Linked DNA regions of Caenorhabditis elegans. The protein of the gene in region 1 interacts with the protein of each later gene in a biochemical or structural test. Each region holds a gene or a part of one and is shown in the gene's direction. Other genes may lie near its edges.

Region 1 (5,179 bases):
CGAATATTTTTATACCAAACAATTTTTATTCCAAAAAATGATCGATATTAATGTAAAAAACAGAAAATTCGGTTCACGGAACACCATTTTTAATTTAGGCCAAAAATCGAATTTTTCCGTTTCGTTATTATTTTTGTTGATTTAACGTTGCTTCTCGTTTAACGATCAAAATTCTATTTAACAAGTCTGTCGAAAATATTTCCGCTCTAATATATTTCAAAATAGATTTTTTCCATTCTCTTGTTTTCTTAATATTTTTTTGCAAATAATTTATAATTTTTAAGCAATCTCATTATTCAGGGTTACCACAGTAGTCATGACCAAGCTGAAGTGCAAGTCTCTCCGCGGCGAGAAGAAGGATGCCCTTCAAAAGAAACTCGACGAGCAAAAGACCGAGCTTGCCACTCTCCGTGTCTCGAAGGTCACTGGAGGAGCTGCCTCTAAGCTCTCCAAGATTCGCGTTGTCCGCAAGAACATCGCCAGACTCTTGACTGTCATCAACCAGACCCAAAAGCAAGAGCTCCGCAAGTTCTACGCTGACCACAAGGTTCGTTAACCGTGTATTTAAAAAAAATATATAACTTGTGTAATTATTTTCAGTACAAGCCAATTGATCTTCGCCTCAAGAAGACCCGCGCCATCCGCAGAAGACTGACCGCTCACGAGCTTTCCCTCCGATCTGCCAAGCAACAGGCTAAGTCTCGCAATCAAGCCGTCAGAAAGTTCGCAGTCAAGGCTTAAGTGGCTTGTATTCATTGTTATCCATTCATGGACATTGTTCTGGTTCAATTTCAATGAAAATTGTTGCTTATGTTAGTAATTTTGACATTCATACAAATCAAAAAAAGTTCATTGAAAGATTGTATCTAAGTTCACCTGGAAATACACAAAAATATTTAAAGTTCAAACAAGGGGTTAAGGCACCAGAAACACCAATAGTCATTTTTCCTACAACTGAAGAAAATTTTTGTACATTGCTGTCAGCGTTTAAACAATTATTTATCGATTAAGCTGCGTCCGGAGCTGCAATTGGAGTTTCATTGATTTCTTCCGTTGACTCGAAAACGATTGTAGGAATGTGAACGTCGAAAAGAACGCCGTTCTCCCTTTCCATTTTAAAACGACCCCTCAAAAATAGTGATGATTCGTGACAAAATAAACGAAACTTTTTTCTTACCACATGTGTCCGCCTTTCGTATGTTTCAGTTCAAGTGTACTGCTGAATTGGAAAGCCGGAGTTGCTGCGTTCAATTCAGGTTGCTTTCCCACGACACCATGTCCATGCATTTGATTCATATTGTTTAATGAATATACCTTGAGTGTTCTTTCTCTTAAAATCACCCCGTTTTCTGGTTTTTTATTCTCGATCCTGATGACATATCTCCACATATGCTGCTGCTGTCCACCAACCATATTGGCACCAAGATAGAAAGTCATCACAGTTACTTCTATGTTTTCAGTTCTTTCCCGATAGACGTCACGAGGTCCAAGCCATGATCTGTTTGGATTTGTGTATCTTTCAACAAGTTCTGGCTTCATTGCAATATCATAAAGTCCAATGCCATCGTGAGATGCGTTGAAAATGTGGTCGAAGAGATCGTGGTCAAAATTGACACCTCCGGATGGAGTAAATGGGATAATATCTTCATGTGAGACACAGTCCATACCACTGAAAATAATTTTTGAATTGAAGGAGTTTTTATTATGAAAAAATTTCTTTAAAATATACGAAATCATATTTTTATTTTGATTTTTTAGAAAACTGATTTTGTCGCTTTCAAAAAAGGTGTTGGTGTTGAGGATTGTTCCAATCAATAATATTTTTTAATTATCTCATTTACAAAAATCACCGTACTTGATTAGAGTCAACATTTTTTGTCCGTGTCTTTTATTCTCCATTGGTGCATCTACCAAATACGATGTAATATCTACTGGGAATCCCATATGACTCCAGTCATAGCGATGAATGAGAACTTGGTAGAAATCACGCGTAAGAAGATGCTTTTCGCTAAAAAAAAATTTAAAATCAGAATAGCAGAAATTTATTGCTACTTACTTTTGTTGACTTCTTTTTTCATGTAATCTACATGGAAAAGAGCAAACAACGACTCCTTTGTAAGCAAATGTTTTGTGAATGAAAATCTGCAATTTAATATTTTTGCAAAATAACTGGATTGAGTCAACCAACTTGTCCAGCTTCAAATGTTGGTTTATTAGTTGATGGCAAGAGAAGTCCAATTTCTTTCAATATTGGCGTTGTGGCGCTTCTGAATCTTAAAAATGATGATTATCGAGTCTGAAATCATCTATAAATTACCTTGACAGTAAGACTTTCCCAGCGGAAAAGTTTCTTACACTGTGCTGAATAGCACTTCGAAGTTTCATATCTGAAATTGTTGGAATAAACATGAATTTTTTCAGATTTTTTGAGTAACAACGGGAATAAACCACGGAATCATAGATGTCAGGAAATACAAATATAACAACTTTAATTAAATTTATGCAAAAATTCTACACGAAAAATACTGAATATCACCTAGAAAAATGGAATTAAATGAAATTTTAAAAAGAACAAACAAACAGGAATAAATTATTTTCTTGGTTTCATCCCCTTATGAATCGAGCACACTCCAAATGTCAAATTCTCGTATCGAACATTACTAAAGCCTTCTTCTCTAATTATTCTTGCAAACTCGTCTTGATTCGGGAATTTACGAATACTCTCAACCAAATATTGATAACTGGCACGATCACTGGCAAGAATTTCTCCAAGAACCGGGATCACATTGAAGGAGTATGCATCGTAAATTGGTTTCAGTGCAGAATTCACTTCTGAGAACTCCAAAATAGCAAGTTGACCTCCAGGTTTGAGTACACGAAAAGCTTCACGAACAACCTTTTCAGGGTGTGTACAATTTCTGATTCCGAAGGACATTGTGAACAGATCGTAAGTGTTCGACTCAAATGGCATTTGCTCGGCGTTAGCGCATACCCATTCCGCGCGAGATGGTTGGATCTGAAGTAATACATTAAGGATATGGAATTTTTTCAAAAACAATTACATCTCTCTCCTTCTCCGCTCGTTTTTTTCCAACATCGAGCATTGGTTGATTAATATCGGAAACTGTCACTTTTGCGGTAGGCGAATGTCTGAGAATTCTGAAAGCGATATCCCCGGTTCCTCCTGCCATATCCAGACATTTCGCATTATACGGTACTTGCAGGCCACCAACATAATAGTCTTTCCATAATCGGTGAACTCCCATGCTCATTGCATCATTCATCAAATCGTACTTTTTCGCGACGTTTGCGAAGACGTGGTGAACTAAAAAAAGACATATAGTATCAGTAAATTATATAGATGTGTTGGAAAAGGGCTTATTTTATGTAGAGAACTTTGTGATTATTATTTGTGGCTATCAGCTTTTTTACGTTTCTGAATCGAACAGCTAACCTTTCTGCTCCTTCTCTGCCTCATCAACGTCAGTGAATCCAAAATGTGTTTTCTTTCCGGGCTCTGACCGTTTATTATCTGAATTGACTTGATTCACCGAAAACTGCCGGAAATTTCCAACGTTCGTAGGTTTTCTCATGCTTTTAAATAAGTTTGTTGCTCCTTTCATTCTGAAAATAAATGAGTTTTAATTCGGACAAAAGATGAGAAAATTTTGAGAACTTAATTGCGAAGTTGAATGATAAATTAAGTGATAAAAATCACGATACTCTGAAAGTTCTTGCAAGAAATATTCTACCGCATTTTCCCGTGGAGATTCCTAGGCCATCACTCCATAATGAATTTTGAAGAGACGTATTTCTCGTTTTTGTGGTATTTGTACACTAAATACTAGCGTTCGAACTACAATCTTCATTTAAATTTCACTCGAACTTTAACATATGAAAAATAATTGAATTATATTATAGTTCTTGATCACGCCATCACTGGCCTAGGTTCCGTCAAGTGGCCGAGTTTTGTAAGAGACACTTGGCATTTTTCCAGTTTTTCTCTCCTATTGTTTTTCAGTTTTTCAGGTTATTTTGTGCATTTCTGTTATGTCCTTTTCTTTATCAATTTGTTCGACTTTTTAAAAAACAATTTTTCAAACAAACTGGACGATTATTATTGATTTTATGCGAGAGATTTTCAGGAATGTCGGGTGGAACAGCAGCAACAACTGCCGGTTCCAAGGTGACCTTCAAAATCACTCTAACAAGTGATCCGAAGCTCCCATTCAAGGTGTAAGTTTTTATATTTAAATTTTCGGTTTACTTTTGATTTGGAGTTTTGCGTCATGCATTAATTTTTCAGCCTCTCCGTGCCGGAAAGTACCCCATTCACCGCCGTTCTCAAGTTTGCCGCTGAAGAATTCAAGGTCCCTGCGGCTACATCAGCAATCATTACGAACGACGGAGTTGGCGTCAATCCAGCTCAACCTGCCGGAAACATTTTTTTGAAGCACGGAAGTGAACTTCGTCTGATTCCACGTGATCGCGTCGGCCATTGAGCATAAGCCAATTGTTGTCTACATTCCTGTATTATGACATAATTATTTTTACAAAATGTGATGTCTCTGTGCATTTCTATCCTAAACTCGCTAAGTCAGATTTGAATATCTAAATTCTTCTAAATATTAATTTATTGAAATTCCCCTTTCCAAAGTACGCTATGAAGCTTTTTTCTCAAACTTGTTCAATCAATTTATCAATACTGGTTGCTCTTCCGCATTTTATCTTACTTTTTTAAAACTACTTTACTTTTAGTCTTATATTATTTTATTTAAGATGAAGCTCTCCCCAGCTACCAAGTCTTTCATCGGTAAGACAGTCGATATTTCCACATTTGCAATCCAATGGGGATTCGTGCCGTTTGTGGTCTACCTTGGATTTAAGAAAGGCGCTGAGCCAATGCCAAATGGACAGGTAAAAACTAGAAAAAGAAACATTTAGTTTTAAAATCACGTCTCCGAGAGAGCGTAATAAATAAAAAATGCGTCCCATAATACACAAGATTCAAACATTTATATAGATACCGCATTTTCTTTACAAGTTTCTCGTTGTGTAAATAGAACAATTGCATGCGAGACGCTGCCAATTATTTTTTAATTTATTTGTCAAAAGTTTAAGTTTTACCAAAAACACCTATGCTTTCAATTCAAAGATTTAAGAATTCATATTTCAGATC
Region 2 (7,142 bases), on another chromosome or scaffold:
GTGGTGAACAATCCTGTTTGTGGAGGGTACCATTTCGGAAGGAAAAGAGCAGATGACTTCGTCCCAAATGCCAATACAGGTTTCTTAAAACTCCAGTTCGATGTAACACTGATATCTATATTCTATAATTACAGTAACAGTGCTCAAATGGCCTACAAATCTGGCGATTCCTCCACGCAACCCCGTGCTGAGCGATTCTGATGAAGAATGGAAGAAAGCGATTCTCGACTCCACCATTTATCTCATCGGTACAGCTCACTTTTCAAAAGAGTCGCAGGAAGACGTATCCAACACAATTCGTGCTGTGCAACCTGATTTTGTCATGCTTGAGCTGTGTCCATCACGAATTTCAATCATATCGATGGATGAGGCTCGGCTTTTGAGCGAAGCGAAAGATCTCAACTCTCAAAAAATTATTCAGACCATGAAACAAGTGAGTTCTCATATTTTTGTTGTTGTAATGTTGTAATATTTTCAACTTTTTTAAGAACGGCGCGATTCAAGGAATTCTGCACGTTCTTCTCCTGTCAATGTCAGCGCATGTAACACGTGAACTTTCCATGGCTCCCGGAGGAGAATTCCGTGCTGCTCATCGTGCAGCAGTTGCAACTGAGGTTTGAGTATTTAAAAAGTTTTATTTACAAAGTAACTATTTCAGAATTGTCGTGTAGTTCTCGGTGATCGTCCTATTCAAGTTACACTTCAACGTGCACTGGCTTCTCTCTCCATCTGGCAAAAAATTCGCTTCTTCTTCCACGTTGCATTTTCACATCGTGAGAAGATAACTGCAGAAGAGGTATTTAATTATTCAACCTTTTCCAAAAATATTCCAAAATTATAGGTGGAACGATGCAAGCAACGTGACCTTCTGGAGCAACTTCTCGCCGAGATGGCTGATGATTTCCCACAACTATCCCAAATCTTTGTGGAAGAGCGTGATGCCTACATGACGCATGCTTTGCATATGCTCGTACACCGGAACTCAGTCGAAAAACGTGCACAATGGCTTCGTGGAACAACTGGGCAACAATTTCAACCGTTGACAGTTGTTGCTGTCGTTGGAATCGGACATACTCCAGGAATTGTTAACAAATGGAATACAAATATTGATTTTGATCCACTTATGAACATCCCACCACCAAGCCTCGGAACAAAGGTAAATTAATCTGAAGTTATTTTAATTCTTTCATTTCTTTATTTCCAGGTTTTCTCCACTGGCGTCCGTATTGTTGTCTGGGGATCTTTGGGATATTTGGCTTATCGTGGAGGACGTGCTATCTTCAATCGTGTTAGCACATTCATAGAGTCTCGTTGGTAGGTTGGAAATTTTTGTTTAAAATTTAGTTTTGGGAATGTTGAAATTAAACGATGAAATTAAACGTGAATTTTGCAAAATCAAGGTCGCACAGAGAGAGGCAGCGCGTAGTTTTGCAAGCCTGTGGCATTGTTTTCCACCGTTTTTTGGTGGTTTTTTTTCGATAAGTTCTCAATTTTACTGGTTTCACTATTTTTTCTAATGAAAATGTTACCTAATTCAATTCTCATACGATTATGAGGAAATTTCATGTTAGATTTGTTGTAAAAACGAAGTATTCTCACAATCTTATGGGAATTGAATTAGATACATAATATTTTTATTCAAAAAAAAAGAAGGAAAAACCGTACCACAGGGATGAGAAATTACGCGAATTACCAACTCCCCATTCAAAGAATGAAATAATAGCAAACCTAATCTCATTTTCGTGCTTCTCCCGTCTTCTCTCGTTATTAGCTTTTCTGGTATCACCTGCTCCGCACAAGTTACCCATGACAACCAACCCACTAACTCGTATATCTTTTCAGAACAACTCATTGATTGAAGCGGGCACAACAGCATAGCAGCCGTCTACATTCGATCTACAGGCGTTTTCATCGTTATTTTGTTCTTTCCTAAAATGTTTATGTCTAATTATTGGACTTTTAATCGCTTTTTCTTGTAATGTGATACGATTTCTAGGGTGTAGATAGGTTGAGAATTGAAACAAAATTTTTCTTCTCCCATTTTTTTCTAAACTATCCTTTTCTGTTAAATGCCCAAACAAATTGCAATTTATTTATTAGTCCCACCCGCTTCTTCCGTTTATCGATTGATTTATTCTCGTTTTCTTTGTAAAATACACAAATAATTTAAATTATTCATCTCTCTATTGCAAAATCCCCTTCTACAAGTCCCCATATTCAGCTCGCTGGTCGTATAAATGACACATTTCAATATTATTCTCTCGTGATTCGTGGTAATATCCATAAACTATTATTATCTTTTGAAAGGTGATTGGAAGAGAAGAAGAATGACGAATTCTCAAACTGTCTCACTAATTGGACCAACTCAGATGGCTCCACAATCAACACCTCCACCTCCTGTGAATGAATTGTGGTTTATTGATGCGCAGGCAATGTTTCAGGTAATTTATGTGGAAATGAGCTATGAAAGTTTTAAGAAGTGCTGAAATTATTCGATTTTCTATACTAGTTGAAAAACGGAAAAAAACGAAATAAAATCTGAAAACACTCCAAAATCAGTCTTGCGAGATAAAAGATTTCACACGAAATATTTTAAGAATTACGCCAACCTCCGCTCGTTCTCCAAATCCAATGCCAACGAAATTAATACGACAATTGGCGGATTCGTTTTCGGACGTAAAGCTCGGAAACAGGTTATCCATGTGCTATTCGCCTACGCTGAAGATCTGACTGAATCGAACAGACAATTCTTGGAGAGCTCTCTGTCTGCTGGTAATTAATGGAATAATATTATTAAAAACTGAGATTTAATTCAGATATTGAACTGGTTGGAAACTTGAATATTGATGGACAATCACAGATTCTTCCTGGCGGGCAGTTCACCCTTCAGCTGACATCTCGAATGCTTGAAAATCGAAGTATCAGCGAATTTTTGGATATGAATGTGATGTTCAACAATGAACATGTTCTTATGGAAGGAGCTAGTTGTGTCAGCAGAGTACGTTCCCATAAGATCTTTAAATTATTGAATAAAAACGGTCCGTTTCAGGTTGGATACGAGTGGTCACTTCGAGCAGGTCGTGAACAAGAAGATGTCAAATCTGCTGCCGAACGTCTTTCAATGGCTTCTTTTCGTTTCACATATCTAAACGCTGAACACGGGTTGGTGATCCGTGAGCAGAAGCCAGAAGCTGCTCAACAGAAGTATCTTGATAAATTCTCGAAAGGCGCTGTACCATATAAGGTTTGGAAATACTGTCTAAAATTAATATGATTGACGGAATTTCAGGATGTTATCGAATTCACTGCCATGCAATCTCTCACTAGGGATACATCTAATGATACGGAAGATCAAAAGCTGGTTCCAACAGTTAAGGTTACCAAGGGTAAAGAATTTTGTTATTTTATAAAGATATTAAATTCGTAATTTAGATAACAAACATTTCACTCGGCTCGTCACAATTGGTGAGGTAGTTTTCCCAGCGTTCTTTGGAGATTCTTCACTGGATTTGTACAAACGATCACGTGAGGCATTCAATAGAAGAGCTAACAATACAATGATGGTTACAGTCAATGGAATAAGAGCTGGGGTAAAAATTGAAATGTAATATTTTTTATATCGATTGATATCTTGCAGCGCGGAGTAACAACGACCACATCTGCAACTTATCTTCCACCTGGATGGGTTTCTCTACTTCATCTCCAACTTCCAACTAAATGGACGGACAATGAACAAAGTATTCATAGAAAGCGTTTCAACTTCTATAAAAATTCAATTTTCTAGGAAATTACCGTATTCGTCTTCACAAGTTGTTCAACTTGCCATCATCTAAGCCAGTTCTTCGATTGTCTCAAGCGTTGGCTCTCCACTCAGAGAGTGCTCGTTTGACCAACAAGAAGCTCATTCGAGAGCCACATTTGTCTATAACAAATTGTATGTTTAAAAATGGAGTACCGAAATTTGAGGCATTGCTTTGTTGGACCCAAAACTACAGAATTTCGTAATGAGACATCAAATTTTGCCAACTTGACAGACCCGGAAATTGCGGAAGTTTGAATCATCAAGTTGTCAAAATTCGAGATTTTAGCTGAAAAAAAAACCGCATTAACTTTTTCTTTTGAGAAATTTTCAGAACGTTTCATAACGAAATGCGGAAGTTTTTGGCAATTTTGGGTCTAAACAAGCAAAGACTCAGAATTAATTTTCAGATCAACCAGTTGGTGAAATAACCACTGTAAATGGGCCGTACAATTATCATCATTACATGCAAGATGGAATTGATGATAGTGGATGGGGATGTGCATATCGTAGTTTCCAAACTATCTGGAGTTGGTTCATTTTGAATGGATATACTGATAAACCTGTGCCAAGTCATCGGGAAATTCAGCAGGTTGGCTTAAGCAGATTTCAATTGAAGTTGTTTTATTTGTTGCAGGCGCTTGTTGATATTCAAGACAAGCAAGCGAAGTTTGTTGGTTCACGACAGTGGATTGGTAGTACTGAAATCAGTTTTGTGCTCAATGAGCTACTCAGTAAGTAGTTGTTGAGTAATTGTATTTAATAGTTAAACATTTCAGAGTTAGAATGCCGTTTCATCGCTACCAACTCGGGCGCAGAAGTTGTCGAAAGAGTTCGTGAACTTGCTCGACATTTTGAAACATCTGGAACTCCTGTTATGATCGGAGGAAATATGCTTGCACATACTATTCTTGGAGTCGATTTCAATGATACCACTGGAGAGACTAAGTGAGTTTTTTTTTTTCAAATTGGAAGTATAGCAACACAATAATTTCCAGATTCCTCGTTCTTGATCCTCATTACACTGGCTCCGAAGATATCAAAACAATCACTTCAAAAGGATGGTGTGCATGGAAACCAGCGAGCTTCTGGAGCAAAGATCATTTCTACAATATGGTCCTTCCTCAACCGCCTAGCGATGCTATTTGAGTGACTTTGTATTACCATGCCTATGAAAAACAATGCATTATATATCTAAATTATTGCCAACCTTCTACCCATTTACATTGTAATTCCTATATTTTTTTAAACCTGGATTAGTCCTTTCTCGTCTGTGATTAATTTATTTCCTCTATAGAGAAATGCTTTCTATAGCCCAACCAACGTTTTTTGGGAATAAAAAATTGGTCAAAAGTTGAGTACAAGTCAAGCATGGCGATCTAGAAACATCGAATTACCAATTGTTGGTTCTTCAAAAATTTCATTTTATTAACCATACGCAACTTTTGCGGGTTGTTGAGCTAAAAGAACTGTGCCCGGTTTTCCTTAAATGCAAATGGTACGCGCCTTTAACCGAGGACTGTAATTCCAAACTTTCGTTACTGCGGAATTTTTCATTCGATTAAAAAAACACTTTCTATTTATTAATAGTTAAATTTTATCAAATCGGAAGAAATGTTATATTATGAAAAATAAATGAAAATTCGGCAGCAAAAAAATTTTGAAATTACAGTACTTTTTCAACGCTCGAAAATTTGTCGTATCGAGACCATGTAACGTATTCTTGCGCAAAAATTGAAAGGTATTGTTTTGAACGAAAATTGTACACAATTCAATCCAACGAATTCATTTTTCAGTCATTTTATTCACAAAACATAAATCCATCAAATTAAATTGCTTCGCCCAATTGATCCGGTTCGAAATACATTCGTGCCCACTGGGTTAGTTGTCCTCCGAGTGGTTCAGAAACATAGATACCATGATCAGCAATCAATTCTTTAGGCCACGATTTGAAGCAAGTTTGGAAATCTTGATTTCTAAAAAGCAAATTGTTAAGTATTTCAAACGGCTTCCTAACACTCACATATTCTTACTTAGGCCATTGACGATGATTTTCTCAATAGCAATATGCTGGCTGGGATCAAACTTTTGATCTTTCAAGTTATCCAAACTGATGAATCGACCCATTTGCATTGTATCCGCTTTGTAACGGTAATCAACTTGGCCTGACAACATTTGTTTTATGGCACGAACAGAGATCATCGTCACCGTTGAATCGACAGGTTGACTTGACTAAAGTTTTTGAATAACTACCCAGACGCGAAACTTTTCGATCTTTGTTCAAGAAGTACGGTATCCGGTCTTGAGACGACAAAGTTTTTTAAATACAAAAGTGTGCGAGCCTTTAAAGAGTACTGTAATGCCAAACAATTTGGTAAACGTGGGTTTTACTTCAGGTTTTTTAAATGAAAAATAATCTTATCTAAAAAAATATATTAAAAATCGTTGAAAATTCCGCTGGAACGAAAGTTTGAAATTACAGTACCCTCAAAAGGCGCACACCTTTTTTGCATTTAAGAAACAATGTTCGTGGTGAGACCGGGAACCGTATTTCTGACGCAAATAGCACAGAAATATACCTTGGTACTTTGACATTTAAACTTGTACGTGCCAGTTTCAAATTTTCCCTGACAAAGATGATTTCCAACAATCTGAGAATAGATGAACGTCAGTCAGAAGAGATAATCTCTCAACAAAACCTGTCTCAAGTTATTCCCATTTTTAGGTCCAAGTTCCAGAACACGAGCATGAGTGATTTCGAGATATTTTTGTCCATTTTCCAAGTATTTCTTACATTGCCCATTTGGATCAAACATTTTGATTTCCATCGTAACAGCTGCATTCAGAAATTGAGCGGCTGAAATGATCAAACCAAGAGCTAAAAGCACATGATTCGAGAACTGAAATTTGAAGATTTTGGAAAGAAAGAAATATTAATAAAGCTCACCATTTTGAATCACACTTCTTCAAGTGGACTTGATACGGGAATAAATTGATTTTTTGATCGAACGGATAAATCTCGGGAAATATTTTTTTGTACCATGTCTTTCACGTGTGAAATTTCAAAATTACTTTTGAGCAAATTTTCGTCAGCGATGTGTGCATCCTTATGAACCTATCGTGAATTAAAGGCAAATCCGGAGGGTGCCTCTTTCCTTCAGTCTTGTATAAATTGTTACACTCTTTTACTTCTATTCTTGCAAAAACTGCGTTGTAAAATTGTTCAACAATCCAGGAAAACTTTTACAGAATTGGTAAACAAAAGAAGTCAAAAATGATAGAAGTTGAGTGGATCGTATACTATTTTAAAATGTCAGTCGGTAAATATACAGAATTTAAATAT

What was found. Proteins that work in one complex are often made in the same cells at the same time.
Region 2: the proteins of ufm-1 (region 1) and odr-8 are reported together in a solved structure, tested with the Caenorhabditis elegans proteins (one study listed by BioGRID).

Annotation. Positions count from the first base shown.
Region 1 is NC_003281.10:7,854,834-7,860,012, forward strand, and holds ufm-1 (Ubiquitin-fold modifier 1), read left to right. Parts: upstream 1-4,145; 5' UTR 4,146-4,147; coding exon 4,148-4,236; intron 4,237-4,306; coding exon 4,307-4,502; 3' UTR 4,503-4,679; downstream 4,680-5,179. Other genes in the region: rpl-35 (Large ribosomal subunit protein uL29), read left to right, coding at 317-547, 601-741; tag-307 (ApaG domain-containing protein), read right to left, coding at 1,007-1,127, 1,178-1,669, 1,856-2,008, 2,057-2,142, 2,189-2,273, 2,318-2,409; coq-5 (2-methoxy-6-polyprenyl-1,4-benzoquinol methylase, mitochondrial), read right to left, coding at 2,591-3,016, 3,063-3,325, 3,455-3,623; tomm-7 (Mitochondrial import receptor subunit TOM7 homolog), read left to right, coding at 4,780-4,917, 5,177-5,179. UniProt on the Caenorhabditis elegans protein: Ubiquitin-like modifier which can be covalently attached via an isopeptide bond to substrate proteins as a monomer or a lysine-linked polymer.
Region 2 is NC_003282.8:6,577,846-6,584,987, reverse strand, and holds odr-8 (Ufm1-specific protease), read left to right. Parts: upstream 1-2,283; 5' UTR 2,284-2,327; coding exon 2,328-2,441; intron 2,442-2,597; coding exon 2,598-2,772; intron 2,773-2,816; coding exon 2,817-2,998; intron 2,999-3,049; coding exon 3,050-3,244; intron 3,245-3,289; coding exon 3,290-3,386; intron 3,387-3,432; coding exon 3,433-3,590; intron 3,591-3,637; coding exon 3,638-3,737; intron 3,738-3,784; coding exon 3,785-3,934; intron 3,935-4,209; coding exon 4,210-4,391; intron 4,392-4,436; coding exon 4,437-4,533; intron 4,534-4,578; coding exon 4,579-4,747; intron 4,748-4,797; coding exon 4,798-4,948; 3' UTR 4,949-5,152; downstream 5,153-7,142. Other genes in the region: F38A5.2 (TraB domain-containing protein), read left to right, coding at 1-79, 135-433, 489-614, 659-796, 842-1,156, 1,205-1,314, 1,843-1,843; C43G2.3 (uncharacterized protein), read right to left, coding at 5,628-5,775, 5,823-6,031, 6,379-6,450, 6,499-6,699, 6,747-6,749. UniProt on the Caenorhabditis elegans protein: Thiol protease which recognizes and hydrolyzes the peptide bond at the C-terminal Gly of ufm-1, a ubiquitin-like modifier protein bound to a number of target proteins.